2 linked regions of the Bombyx mori genome follow. The main gene of each other region encodes a partner of the protein of the gene in region 2 in a complex. Links are inferred from orthologs where the notes say so. Each region holds a gene or a part of one and is shown on either strand. Other genes may lie near its edges.

Region 1 (7,334 bases), on a different chromosome or scaffold from region 2:
GATTTATATACATAATTAAAAGTAATCGCACGTGTTTTATTTTCATTACTGTCACGAAATAAAAATAAAAAAAGTAGCTTTAATTAATTCGATCTCATGTCTTTAGAAGGCGGTGGTACAAATCTCTTGAAGAATCTAGAATAACCCCTCGACGTTACTAGAATAGGTAGAAAAAAAATATGGAATTTACTTATCACCAGGTCGTGCCGTGAAGACATTTAGGTATTAAGTGAAATAATTAAAACAATAATCGTTTTCACGTAAAATTCATTTTCAAGGTAAATTATTTGTTTCTTTTACTTCCTCGTTACGTTAAATTTGCATTGGAATGAACAAATATTGATTTGTCAATTCAACTGTTATTTATAATTGCAAATATACAGCAGCTGTTATAGAAGTCGATAAAATTCGTTTTTTTATAATACGCTTTTATTAGCTCGACATTCGTATTTTGCGATGTGAATTTGTCGGTGTTCTTATCCGATAGTTATGGTTTTTTTTATTGCTTAGATGGATAGACGAGCCCACAGCCCACCCGGTGTCAAGTGATTACTGGAGCCCATAGACATCTACAACGTAAATGCGTCACCCACCTTGAGACATGAAGTTGTATAGTCTCAGTATAGTTACAACGGCTGCCCCACCCTTCAAACCGAAACGCATTACTGCTTCACGGCAGAAACAGGCAGGGCGGTGGTACCTACCCGTGCGGACTTTACAGGTCCTACCACCAGTAATCACTTATTTCTATTATTTTTTTTCCAATAGGATCGTTGGTACCCCCTCAAGCTGTTATTTTGACTACGCGCGGTTTGGTAGATGAGCTCCCTCAACCTGAGAGAATTACTAACCCTGGCCCCAACATGATCAGTGCTTTGCTGAATCTACCATCGGATCGGAATCGCGAGCCACTGAGACGTAGTGAGAAGATCCGGCGATAAACTCAGTGGATAGGTTGTACGTGGAACTCTGTCGTATTTGACGTGTTCGACGAGAGCGGTAACCAGTGCCTGGAATGCCTAAAAGCCCGGAGAGTCGATCGAGAGGATTCGATAGTATTTTTTATTTATTGCTTAGATGGATGGACGAGCTCACAGCCCACCTGCTGTTAAGTGATTACTGGAGCCCATAGACATCTACAACGTAAATGCGCCACCCACCTTGAGATATCAGTTCTAAGGTCTCTGTATAGTTCCAACGACTACCCCACCCTTCAAACCGAAACGCATTACTGCTTCACGGCAGAAATAAGCAGGGTGGTGGTACCTACCCGCGCGGACTCTCAAGAGGTCCTACCACATGTTAAAACTTTTATTGTACACGTTACGTTTTTATTACACGATGTTATTCCTTCACCGTGGAAGTCAATCGTGAACATTTGTTGAGTACGTATTTCATTAGAAAAATTGGTACCCGCCTGCGGGGTTCGAACACCGGTGCAATCGCTATATACGAATGCACCGGACGTCTTATCCTTTAGGCCACGACGACTTCAATAAATGTCGTCGGATGTTCTTTAGACGACGGTACCTTTGATTTGCCTCGTGGCCTGGGTCGGATATGTAATTTTAGGCGGTCACGATAAGGTTTATTTCTAATGAAATACGTACTTAGTACACGTTCACGAATGACTTCCACATCGTGTAATAAAAATCCGATATAATAGTAACGTGCGTAATTACTAAACAATTGAGATGTAGATGTATGTATATGGACTCCAGTAACCACTGAACAACAGGTGGGCCGTGAGCTCGTTACGAAAATATATTTTTTTTATCTCGAAACTAGGAAGAAACAACCTTCTAGTTCAAAGTGGCCCGCAGCATACCGTATGAACAGACTTAACTTGAAAACAAAGGTATAAAAATGAGTTTAAATTTTTGAAATATAATCATTGCTAACATCGGTATGACTAAACAATCTCTTGTTATTTACTGCATTTACATGAATATTTTTTACTTCACCACATTTATCTGACTTGGTTGTTGTTTACAAAAAGTGTTCAAAGAGGTCAAACTATAATATAAAATAAATCATTTCTTATCTATGGAACGTAAACAACTATATCTGTGTTGGAAATTGTAAATTTAGAAGATGCAAATAGACAAAGAGTTATGGCCATATTTTCTTTATTTATATCTTCAGCTACGCACGGACGGGTTGGTAAGCTCATGGGGTTCATCCTGAGAGAATTTGCTAACAATAGTCCTAGTAAGAGAAATCCAATCCAGCGAGAAATTAAGTTGGTTATGTATTTGGGCTAGGTTGCTCTTCAAACTCTTTTTGTCTAAGCCTCAGTTTTTTCATTGCAACAATTTCCCCACCCTTTAAACGGAAACTCATTACGGCTTCGCGGAAAATATAGGCAGGATGGTGGTACTTACCCGCGTGGGCTCAGATATGATGCCCTATCACCAATAATTACACAAAAATTATAATTATTGCGGGTTCAATTTTTATAACAAGTAATGTTATTCCTTTATTATAGAAATAATTTGTGAACATTTGTTAACCTATTTCATTAAGAAAATTGCGTCGCTTGATGTGAATGCACCGGGTGCCATATCCTGTAGATCACGAAGAATTTGCTGCCTATAGTGACATGAAATATCACTTAACACTAAAATGGTTAAAAGCCATTACCGTTTTGAACAACGGGCTTCACATACAGAATCTTAACAAAATACCTATTTTCCTAATGACTAGAAAATTTTAAATAATACAAGTTTACCTTTTTTCCTTCAAAATTGTCTCTAGTTGTGCCAATAAACAATGAAATTGCACCGCAGCTATCATCAGTTACAAGTTCACTTATTTCTTCGACTGACAGTCTATCTACTGTTAATTTTATATGGTCCATCCTGTGAAATACTATTTAACCTCCACTCAATGGTGGTATAACAGCTAAGTTGTCTTGTTCATTAATTTCTATATCTACTGTATCCTCACACACTACCTCGTTCTTAGCCAAAAGTATATTTTTCTTAATACTGTTTAAGTTATATTTATCGCATATAATATTCAACAATCTCTGATATCCCAACTTTCTTGGTAAAGTTATGGAAGTTTCTCTAACTCCCGACAATTCTTTTGATTTAGCAAAAAACAATAGCTTCACTGTTACAGTATCTTCTATATTTTCTATTTCCATAATTTACCATAGTCAATCTACCAGCCTGCAATAAAAAGATGTGTTATTATAAACCTGTTTGTAAAAAAAAGTTGCTTAAGTAAAAATAAATAAAAAACATTACAACAAAATAATCAATATAGCTACTGTCAATACTGCTTCTAAATCTGTGTAAATAGTAAACAATAATGATTAAAATACATACATGTAATTTGAATTGAAAAAAAAAACTAGAAAGTACAAAATGGTGCTGCAAAATCTAAAGAAAAATATTTAAAAAATTAAATTCTTACTTTATTTCGAATTGATCCATAAAAGACTAAATATGTTGTACTTGTTGTAGGATAATAAAAAGGTTTTTAATTTCCGTTATACACTTTCCATGTACATCAAAAGTATTTTAAAAAATTATATATCTACTGACTGCATCACCGCGGCGTTTCATTTACTTACTGACTGATTCACTCGACTTACCTACATGAATGTCGTGGATATAGTTTTTATTTTATGGGCGACTGCTTTAAACATGTTGCTGATCATTGGACCGTGTCGGAATTTCACGATCTAATTACATACACCTACTTTCATACAATAGATACCTATACTTTACACAGTATAATATTATTAGATATTTTCAAGTACGTCGTTGGTACAAATGTCATTACAGCGATCATTTAATTTAAACTGTGTGATTTTTATAACTAGGAGGTTATACCGTAACCTTGAAAATCGTAACATTTTATTTATTAAAGTAATTTTAAATATACTTACTGTATCTTCTGTCTTAAATGGTAGTAATGTAAGGGTTTTTTTTCCTCAAACTTAGATTAGAAATTTCACTTCTTTAAAATTCTTACTAACTATTAGGTGTTATAATTAAGTTAAAATTCAAATTTTAAAACTCAAAAGCAAAACAAGAGACAGCTGTTATAGTTTATGAATTAATAACTTTTTGTTTGATCCCAAAAAACAGGCAAAGGAATAGTATTTCATAGGCTTTGTTTCAAAAAGTAAATTCTTTTATCTATCTATCTCTTAGGTTTATGGCGTTTCCTTTTAGATTTCGCCAATGTCAAGTGTATATAATACTCTGCTTTCTATAGCGGGCTTCGTGAATTAAATTAAAGTAAATTCTTTTGCACGAGAAGCGTAAAGGTGTCATTACCAAGCCATACTATTACCTTTTTTAAGGTATAAAAAAGGTAATAGTTTAAAGTTTGAATGATATCAGTTTTCGTAATAGGCCAACCAGCCAAGTCCAGTGATTTTGCTCCATTTCCATCTCCTAGAATCTAGGACCTAGATAGTTGAAAAGACCATATTAGTTTAGTATATTAGTTGCAGAAATACCTAATTGGAAAAATATTACAATGGCATATCCAATTTCATTCTTGTGTTCTAGTCATAGTAGATTTACACTTTTCTTTCTTGAATCTTATCCATACAACGGTTGAATGAAAGAGATCGCTTTAGAAGACAGGACCACACCTTGTAATTAAATTTTTATAGCATATCTACTTCGCTCCCATTGTACTAAGAAAAATTACCCGTGATAAGGTGCATGCGAAAATTTAACATGAAAATTAAGAGTCAATAACAAAACTCAATTTTACATTTATAGTATTTTAAAAATATAGATATTCTTTTAGGATCTCTTTTTAGGGGTTCAAAAAAACCCTCTTTCCAAGCGAGAGTTGTTGATAAAATACTTAAAATTTAAACTTAAATTATAAATATGTCTGTTATTAACTACTATCTCTCCATCATATTAAATCATGTTTATGTTGTATTTTCATGTCTCAGGCCTATTTATAAAATATCTTATAATCCAATTAATAATCATCATATGTTCAATAGTAGTGATCCGTCTTTGCACGGGATGAATAATGATATTGTGAATTATGTAATAATGAATAAATATAATCATATAATGTATAAACTAATTATTGCTGAAAGTACATCATAATACAAGTAAAAGAAAGTACATTATTGTTTACAGTAATGGCCATAGGTAATATATTGTAATTACATCACGTGTATTATTTTTACTAAGCTTTATGTAAAAGCTTCAATATTGACAGTTCTCTTTCAAATGAGAGAAATTACACTTTCAACCCCTACTTTTTAACTCTCAAAGAAAATATTCCTAGAAGTGAAATTTTGAAAAACAGCAACAAAAGTTTACGCATAAACGATAATATGTTTATTTTTTAACAAGTAGCGGAAATACGACATTTCGTATTTTAAAATGACAGTGTCGAAATGTTGTAGCGATGGCTCTATAGGTTGACACTCTCTTATTATACATTAAGGTTAATCCTATGAGTTTAGATTTGAATTCTTTCGGTGATCATGTCTCCTGCCGTTTGACATTCTTTTTCTTCCACTTGACCATAGATAATGCTTAAACACCTTCGCAACTCGATTTAATTTTACGTCACTATCGATACTAACTGCACTACCATAATCTGACAATTGACAGTTCAAATTGAAAAAGTTACCGAATTCAAACGGTTTTCAATCCGGTATGTTTGTGTGCTGCTTCTATGTATACTGATCGTTATTTTTTGGCAAGATTCCCTCTGGGTGCGCTTCTTATATAAAATGGACTACGTACAACGTACAACACAAAAAGGATAAAAATAGAATACGAATGCGAGTTTCAGTTCAGTGCTCGGACATTTTTGTTTTCTAATGACATACTTACCGAACCGTTTATTTTACGAAATAGAAATCAGTGAAATTATTTGAAAAATATTTGATGTTAGTGTTGGATTGAATATTTACTTGTGTCTTCAGATCGTGACGTGTCGAGCAGAGCAGAGTCTTAAAAACGCTACAATCAACCGTTGTGTGTTTAGTGATATATAAAAAATGGCAAATCGCGATGAACCGATGGATATAGACAGCTTAGAGAGTGATTTTGATAATAAAGAGAATACATATCACAATAATGTGTTACCATGTACAGAGAAAGGATATGAGGAGTTGGATGTGTCAGAACTCAACATGAAATTGAGGTATTCTATAACCCCAGCCGCATCACCTATGTCGAGGAGCTTTACTAACTATACTAGCAATAGAAGCCTTGATAATGATGATTCACTAAATTATTCCAGCAATGAAAATAATTTGACTCGATCTTTAAATTCTAATATATCAAAGAATGAAAATGTGGTAAAATCTCTTAAAACATTGCCTCTCCAGTCACTTCCCACTGACCAAGTAGATCGAATAACAATTTTACAACAGTTGGATAGTGTTGAGTTGACGGGTGATACTCATGATATCACTGTAACTGTTAGTAAAACAAACGATGATGAAAACATATCACTAGCAAGTTCATCATCTTCAGCATTACACAGTCCTGATGCAACAACACCAACAAAAGAACCCGAAAAAAATGAAAATGAATCTCCAATAATGAGAGGTCTCAAGAGCGTACTTAATATTTTTCGTTCTTCACAAAGCCCTATACCCCCTGGAGATAATGATGTGGGATCAAATCAAATTTCACCTAGACTAGAAGAATGTTCAACACCTAAAACTGAAGAGACAACTGACAAGACAGCCTCTGCGTCCACTCCTATCGTAGCTCATAGAAATAAAGATTTAAATATATCCAACAGGAACAGTCCATACAAAGAAAGTGTCACATTTAATGAAGACCTTGAAAAAGAATTACTATGGAAAGACGAAACAACAATATTGTTCAGTCAAGAAAAGATTCCCGTACACAAATTGTTTTTAACTAAAACAACTGAGAGTCAGTTGAAAAATGTAACTGAAACACATAATCAAAATCTAAATAAAACGGTTGAGTATATGGATATGTCGTTCAATGATATGCTGGAAGACAAAACTCTAACTGAATCTGAGAATTTTAAAAATGATTGCAGCACTGTCGAATCTGATAGTGAATTTGTAGATTGTGAGACGACATTTACGAAAGATGAAAACCAAAAAGAAAAAAATAATTTTACTGAAGAACATATGCTAAATGAAACTGTCAACATCTGTGGGACTGACGTTCTTGACAGCTCTGTTATAGAACGAAAACCAGCTCCTGACGAAAGACATCAGAGCAATCTTTTTAATGCAATAAATATTACTGAAAATTCTAATGAAGAGCACTTAAATCACGAAAATGTAGTTCAAATAACACAAATAGGGAGTAAGTTAATTTGCCCAAAAGATTTACAGG
Region 2 (6,557 bases):
TGTGATGTCCGCCAGTAACTGAGGCCCTGCAGTACCCAGAGTTCAGCTGCGTAGTGACGTACGGACGCCTGGTCGTGGGCTGTGCCTTCCTGGTGCCGGACGCGGGACATTCCACCGCGTACATCTCCTTCGTGCTCACCAGGCCGGAGTGGGGCAGGGCCGGCATAGCTACATTCATGCTGTACCATCTACTTCAGGTATACTCGCCCATGAGGAACAGTAAGGCGGACATTTATTGCGATATTTCAGGAAGATGGATCTGGTTACCACATAATCCAGTCTCCGTAGTGGAGAAACTTTCTTTAAAAAAGAAAGTTGTATCTCCAGTGAAGAACATACGAAGTAAGAACATATCGCCAGATCTTAATACGTTGACTGCCATGTAGGTCACCGGTGCCCTACGTGGCGCACTCAAGTAATTATGTCGATTTCTCTCTTTTCTATCTTCTTACTAAGGCGCTGAAACATCTCGTAGTCGCTGGGAAAGAATTCGAAGATACTGAGAATGAATATATTTCTGGAGACCTAAAATACTAAAACATATTATATTAAACACAAAAGAAGGCAAAATTAAGCAATCCCAGCGCTTAGTAATAGAGATCGACATAATTACCTCAGTGCGCCGCGTAGGGCATCAGTGCCCTACATGGCGGTCAACGTATTAATATAATATTAATTCAATCAGTAAAACGGATCATGATATGGGTTGCATGGCAACGGACACAAAACTGTTCATTTTTTTTAAATAAAGAAGGTTCACCCTGCATTGAATACTGGTGACTTCAGGTCAAAGTTAGGTTATATATAATCTTACTCTATGGGTCAAAGTATCAACTGCATTGTATGTTTACCTTAAATTATTTGCTAATATAAGGTTCAGGCTTAAGTGTTGTAGACAATTACCTTTTTTACTTACAGACTTGCACGGGCCAAGATATCACACTGCATGTGTCACCAACAAATCCAGCTATATTTTTATATCAAAAATTTGGCTTCAAAGTGAGTATCATGAAAACCCTATTTCTCTGGTATTATGGTACAATGTATTATCAGCATATTATGATACATTATGAATATCACTCAATGTATTGTAATTATTATGTAAACTTATCTGGAGTTTTACAAAACTGCTTCACGCCAGAAACATGCTGATGCATAGATTAGTCTACTATTTCAAAGCTACTAAAATTTTGACCTCATACCTCATATTACCAATGTATCTATGTATCTAACTATTTTCATCGCATTTTACACTACCACATTATTTGTTGATAATGAATCCAAAAGTAACATTTTGTGCACAAAGAACAGACAAACAGACAACGTGAACTATGAATATTTCATTTCTGCAGTTGGGCTTCTGAGCTCACACCCAACTCACCTATCCCAAAGTATTGTAATGTCACTGCTCTCACACTGTTCAAGTTATATTGAAAGTATGAATACTTTAAGACTAAAATAGGCACATTAGTGGTAGAAATACACACAGGCTAACAATACTTTGTTGCATAATAATTTTCGATTGATAAATAGTTGACAAGTGTGTGTATCTGCAATTCAGCATAGCATATGTGGTGTTAAATGATACCAATTTGTCATAGTCACAATGGTTTACTTATAAAACCTTCATATAACAAATAATCATAAATTTTCCTAGTCTTATTTACATCTATTTTAACAATTTTCCTTGCATCTAAAAGTCGTAGGAATCCAAGCTTACTGTTCTGAGCTATAAGATGCTCTTTTATTTCCAAGTAGTTTGTTGGTACAAGCCTCAAATTAGAACATAGTACTTGTTCAGCCTCACTCAGCCTGTGGAAACCTGGCAAGTCAATTATTTCTAAGGGCATTGCCATACGCTTGTAACGCAGCACTTGGTGGTTTTTTGTGTACATAGTCTTCACTGGTGATTGATTTTCAAATTTCTTGGCCATAACACATGTAGCATACTTTTGTTCTTTCATGATTATGTCATTTTCTTTTTTAAGTTGCTTATAAAGTTTGGCAGTATAAAGAGTTTTTATACCATTCTTACGGTATTCACATAAATGTCCAATTCTCTGTAACAGCTCGTTCTCTAAGCTCATGGATTCCATGAAAGCGTCAAACTGTATTCCTGTCATGAACTGCATGAAGCAAAGCAATCGTTCTGCTTTCTGTCGTGTTATAGTGAGGTCAAACTTTTGGATCCATGAGAAAAGCTTATTTGGCATTACTAAGCCATGATTCTGTATAATTTTATACCTTCTATGTCTTTCTCTTAATCTTGTATTAAGAGCATTCACTAAAGACACCTTTAAAGAATCCATCATGTCCATTTCATCCTCATCCTCATCATCATCTTCAGAGTAACTGTCTTCAATATTAAATATGCTTTCAGCATTGTGATCATAACTGAATTCAAATTCAGATCTATATGTATTGTAACCAGCTAAATGTTGATCTGAACTGTTATTTCTAGGCGGATTAGTGCTTACATCTGTATTGTACAAGTATGGAGTAATTGGCATTGGAAAAAGTGACTGTTGTGTTTCCTTTAGTAATCTCAATTCTTTATACTGCACATTCTCTATGTAATATTTCCTATAATGCTCTTGACATTCGAGTTTAGAACGTGTGTGCACATTCTTAGATATTTCTTCCCAATTTCCGAATCCGTATGTAGAAAGTGCTGATAACAATTTGCACTCTTCTTTAGCAGACCAATTGCAATTACCGAATAATGGAAAATCATTTCTTCTTATCGCGTATTTGTGGTCATTTTTATGCATTTCTGTTTCCTTGCCGGATGAAAAACAAGGAGTGCAAACATTGCTTTCGCACTCGCAACATTCGATAAAAGGCTCGTGTGCGACTTCTGAACACAAATCGCAGTTCGTTTGTAGTATATCTCTGGACATTATTTCAGGTTGAAGAACTTATACAAGACTTTTATGAGAAGTACTACGACATCGAATACAAGGGATGCCGGCACGCGCTCTTTCTTCGACTTGTCAGATAAATAAAGTAGTACTTTAAAAACCTTTATTTTATTTACAAACAAAACCTAATAGTCTAACTATCACTTACCTATTGAACAAACTTCAAAAATTCAAAAACAAAAGAACTAAACACCTACATTTCGATAGAACTTCACGCACAGATCAGTTGTTTATTGGTTTACAATAGAAGATAGTGATTTTTTTCTATTTAGTAAAACCGGTTAAACTATGTAATGTTAGGGATTACTATTTCAGCAAACGTTTAGAAAATACAATATTTAAGTAAGTACGGTTCCTACATAATAGTAGTAGTTTTATTTTTTCAACTGAAAAGTCAATGGTATCATACCATACAGCCTAATCTTTTATAATTCATTTTATATGAAAAATGATAATATGAAGTGTAATTAAATGAAGTTGATTAATGAAACATGGCATGAAATGAAATGAGGTTGGATAATATGGGATAAAATATAATCTCAGTAAAATGGTGGTCATTTACTAAGACTTTTTCAATTGACTTTTTGGAAGATCCCGAGAAGTTACGTCCAGTGCCTTTGTTTCATTTTCCCACATTTGTGCACTTTCACAGATACTAAACAGTTAATAAGCCACGTTATTACACATTTAAATCTAACAAACAAATCACACAACTTCACTCCTCGCGGTTCCGCCAAAAAGATCTTACCTTTTTTGTTCTTGCCCTGTCATACATACATAACTTTATTCAAAATAACTACATATCTCGGTGAGTAGGGATGGTGATCAGGGATTGATTTCTGTTTAAATCGATCTTTTTATCATTATAATAGCCAATCCATCTAGGACATTAGCAAATCAAAATGCATTTGCAAACAGGTTATCATCATATCATGTGTGAAAATCCATTATTATTGGAAAATGAAATAAAGTTGCTGAACGTGACGTCTCGGGTTCTTCCAAAAAATCTATTGAAACAACGCAAATTGATGACAATATCAGTTAATAAACAAATTCATTTCAATCCGATCCATTCCATTTGACATCAAAGCATCGATATTAAAAAAGTATTTTAAAGTCGGTGCTGGTGACATTACACGGAAAATAAAAAAAAAGCGAATATCGAAAAAATATATTTATGGGCAGTCGATTTTCTCTTTTTCGAGAAGAAGGATCATTCCTACTTTTTCATATATCTGTACTTATGTCTTTGTCAACGTTTACTATGTATCACTGCTAAATATCTGTTACGACTTCATACTTAACTCTTAGGTGTGTACTTATAGGTAAGGAGAACTATCTTAAAATGAGAGACAAGTTGAAGAAGCATCCGGCTGTAAGCAGCAAATTGCAATTCAGAAAACTCATTAAAACAGGGCTAGTGTAGCAAATGGATGATGTAGAAATTGTAAGGGAGTGAAGTATGCTTAGTTGAAAAACTTTCTGGGCTATCTTTAAAATTACACCACTGCCTACGATGGCGCTACCCTAATTGGTCGCCTTTCGACGATCACTTTTTCATACACAGAAAACCATTTCTCGAAAAGTATGGACGGTAAAGGCAAACAGCGGGTGATGCTTACAGCTGGTTCTGCTTACCTCTAACCTCCATACTTTACCAGCAACGAATAAAACACAGTGTTTTAGTTTACTTAGGAAAACTGGGTAACTAAATCCAAAATGTATCATTTGATTAACCCGCTATGATAGATGATGTTCTTCTTTGATAAGCTTCCTTAATTTTTGAATTTGTTAACAGTAGATCTAATAAAAAAAACAATCTAAAAGATATAATAAACACTAGTATCGCTTTAAAATAAATAATCCCCTTTTCAGAATAATCATTAAATAGATAATATTTTGAAAACATGAACAATTAAATATTGCATTTTTTATTTATTAAGTCGTAACAGAGAACATGGTAAAATAAAAAAGAAACAACGAGAACATACTGACATTTATAATCGGGTCGAGATTCGAGAAAATGACGTGCCCATTAGCCGATGAACATAGAAATTTATATTTGTCTCTTTTTAACATTAGCTAGTTCATATTGCTTTCTTTTTATTGCATCTCGCTCACGTCACGGGTGAAGGTCCTAGAATGTTCTAGATGTTTTGATGTATATATTTTGGTTCGACGAGAGCGCCGCGTTTCATTCAATTGTGATATTGCTGAAGTGAAGTGTTGAGTTTTGCGTTGTGATTATTTGCTAAAATTTCGTAAATTGTGCTTAAATTATCAAGGATTAAAGTTTCTCTAATACAAGTAAGTGTTCTGAAAATGCTATGTTGATTTTTTTCATTTAAAAACCGTGGTTTTGTTATAAAATGTGGTCTATCAAATTTATGAAACGAAAATGATCGACGAAATCGTGCTTCCAAAAAAGGTGTCAAACGTCGAGACTGATCTTTTTTTTTTGTTTCAGTACAAATCAAAATGGGCAAAGACTACTATAAAATATTGGGAATAACAAAAGGTGCTTCGGACGATGACATCAAGAAAGCCTACAGAAAATTGGCATTAAAGTACCACCCGGACAAGAACAAGGCTGCGGGCGCAGAGGAAAGGTTTAAAGAAGTGGCAGAAGCTTATGAGGTTTTATCGGACAAGAAGAAAAGAGAAATTTATGATGCGCACGGCGAAGAAGGCCTAAAGGGTGGTATGGGCGGGCAGAATGGTCCTGGTGGCGGTCAATCATTTTCCTACACGTTCCACGGCGACCCGAAAGCAACGTTCGCGCAGTTCTTTGGTTCGGCCAGCCCGTTCCAGGAATTCTTCGATCTGAATGGAGGTGGAACTACAACGTTCTTCGACCGCGACATGGATGTGGATATGGATCCTTTCAGTAACATAAGCATGGGGCAGGCGCGACCAGGTGGCCCCGGTGGTGCTTTCCGCAGTCACAGCTTTAATTTCCATGGTTCACCTAGTAGGAAGGAGAAGACGCAGGACCCCCCCATCGAACACGATTTATACGTATCATTAGAAGATATCGCCCGTGGTTGTGTCAAGAAGATGAAGATATCGCGACGTGTAATACAGCAAGATGGTACCTCGAAGAAGGAAGACAAGGTGTTGACCATACACGTGAAGCCTGGCTGGAAAGCTGGAACTAAGATTACCTTCCAGAAAGAAGGTGATCGAGGTCGTAATAAAATCCCAGCAGACATAGTGTTTATCATCCGAGATAAGGCACATCCACTATTCAAGCGAGAAGGCAGTGACATAAGATACACAGCTAAAATCTCACTCAAACAGGTATGTTAAGTTTCTTGTGCATTTCTGAACTCAAAAAGGTTTTGTAAATTTCTGTTTTTAATGGGAATAACACACACTAACAAAATTAAAACAAAGTACCTACCATAAGTTGACTTATAGTACTGTATAATAATTTTATTATAATTGACTAATATAATTTAATTAACTAGGCAATACATCTTATAAGTGGTGAGTCATTTATGGAAATTAATAACTTATTTAATCTTGTTGCAGGCACTCTGTGGCACAACCATTGAAGTACCAACTATGTCTGGAGAAAAGTTAACAGTCAACTTACATGGTGAAATAGTAAAACCTCACACAGTCAAAAGGTTC

Evidence for each region. Proteins that work in one complex are often made in the same cells at the same time.
Region 1: transcriptional adapter 2A (region 2) and molybdopterin synthase catalytic subunit share a complex: the UniProt entries of both Drosophila melanogaster proteins name them as parts of the ada2a-containing (ATAC) complex. The link is inferred for Bombyx mori from reciprocal best matches to the Drosophila melanogaster genes Ada2a and Mocs2B.

What each region holds. Positions count from the first base shown.
Region 1 is NC_085131.1:1,995,691-2,003,024, forward strand, and holds the start of molybdopterin synthase catalytic subunit, read right to left. Parts: upstream 4,171-7,334; 5' UTR 3,902-4,170; intron 3,831-3,901; exon of another isoform or gene 3,424-3,830; intron 3,177-3,423; 5' UTR 2,861-3,176; coding exon 2,732-2,860; intron 1-2,731. Other genes in the region: putative leucine-rich repeat-containing protein DDB_G0290503, read left to right, coding at 6,005-7,334. UniProt on the Drosophila melanogaster protein: Catalytic subunit of the molybdopterin synthase complex, a complex that catalyzes the conversion of precursor Z into molybdopterin.
Region 2 is NC_085111.1:1,073,743-1,080,299, reverse strand, and holds transcriptional adapter 2A, read right to left. Parts: upstream 2,909-6,557; 5' UTR 2,901-2,908; coding exon 1,602-2,900; 3' UTR 1,592-1,601; downstream 1-1,591. Other genes in the region: cysteine-rich protein 2-binding protein, read left to right, coding at 16-197, 919-999, 2,909-3,001; DnaJ-5 (dnaJ (Hsp40) homolog 5), read left to right, coding at 5,400-6,221, 6,456-6,557. UniProt on the Drosophila melanogaster protein: Component of the histone acetyltransferase (HAT) complex ATAC; predominantly involved in acetylation of histone H4, including at Lys-6 (H4K5ac) and Lys-13 (H4K12ac).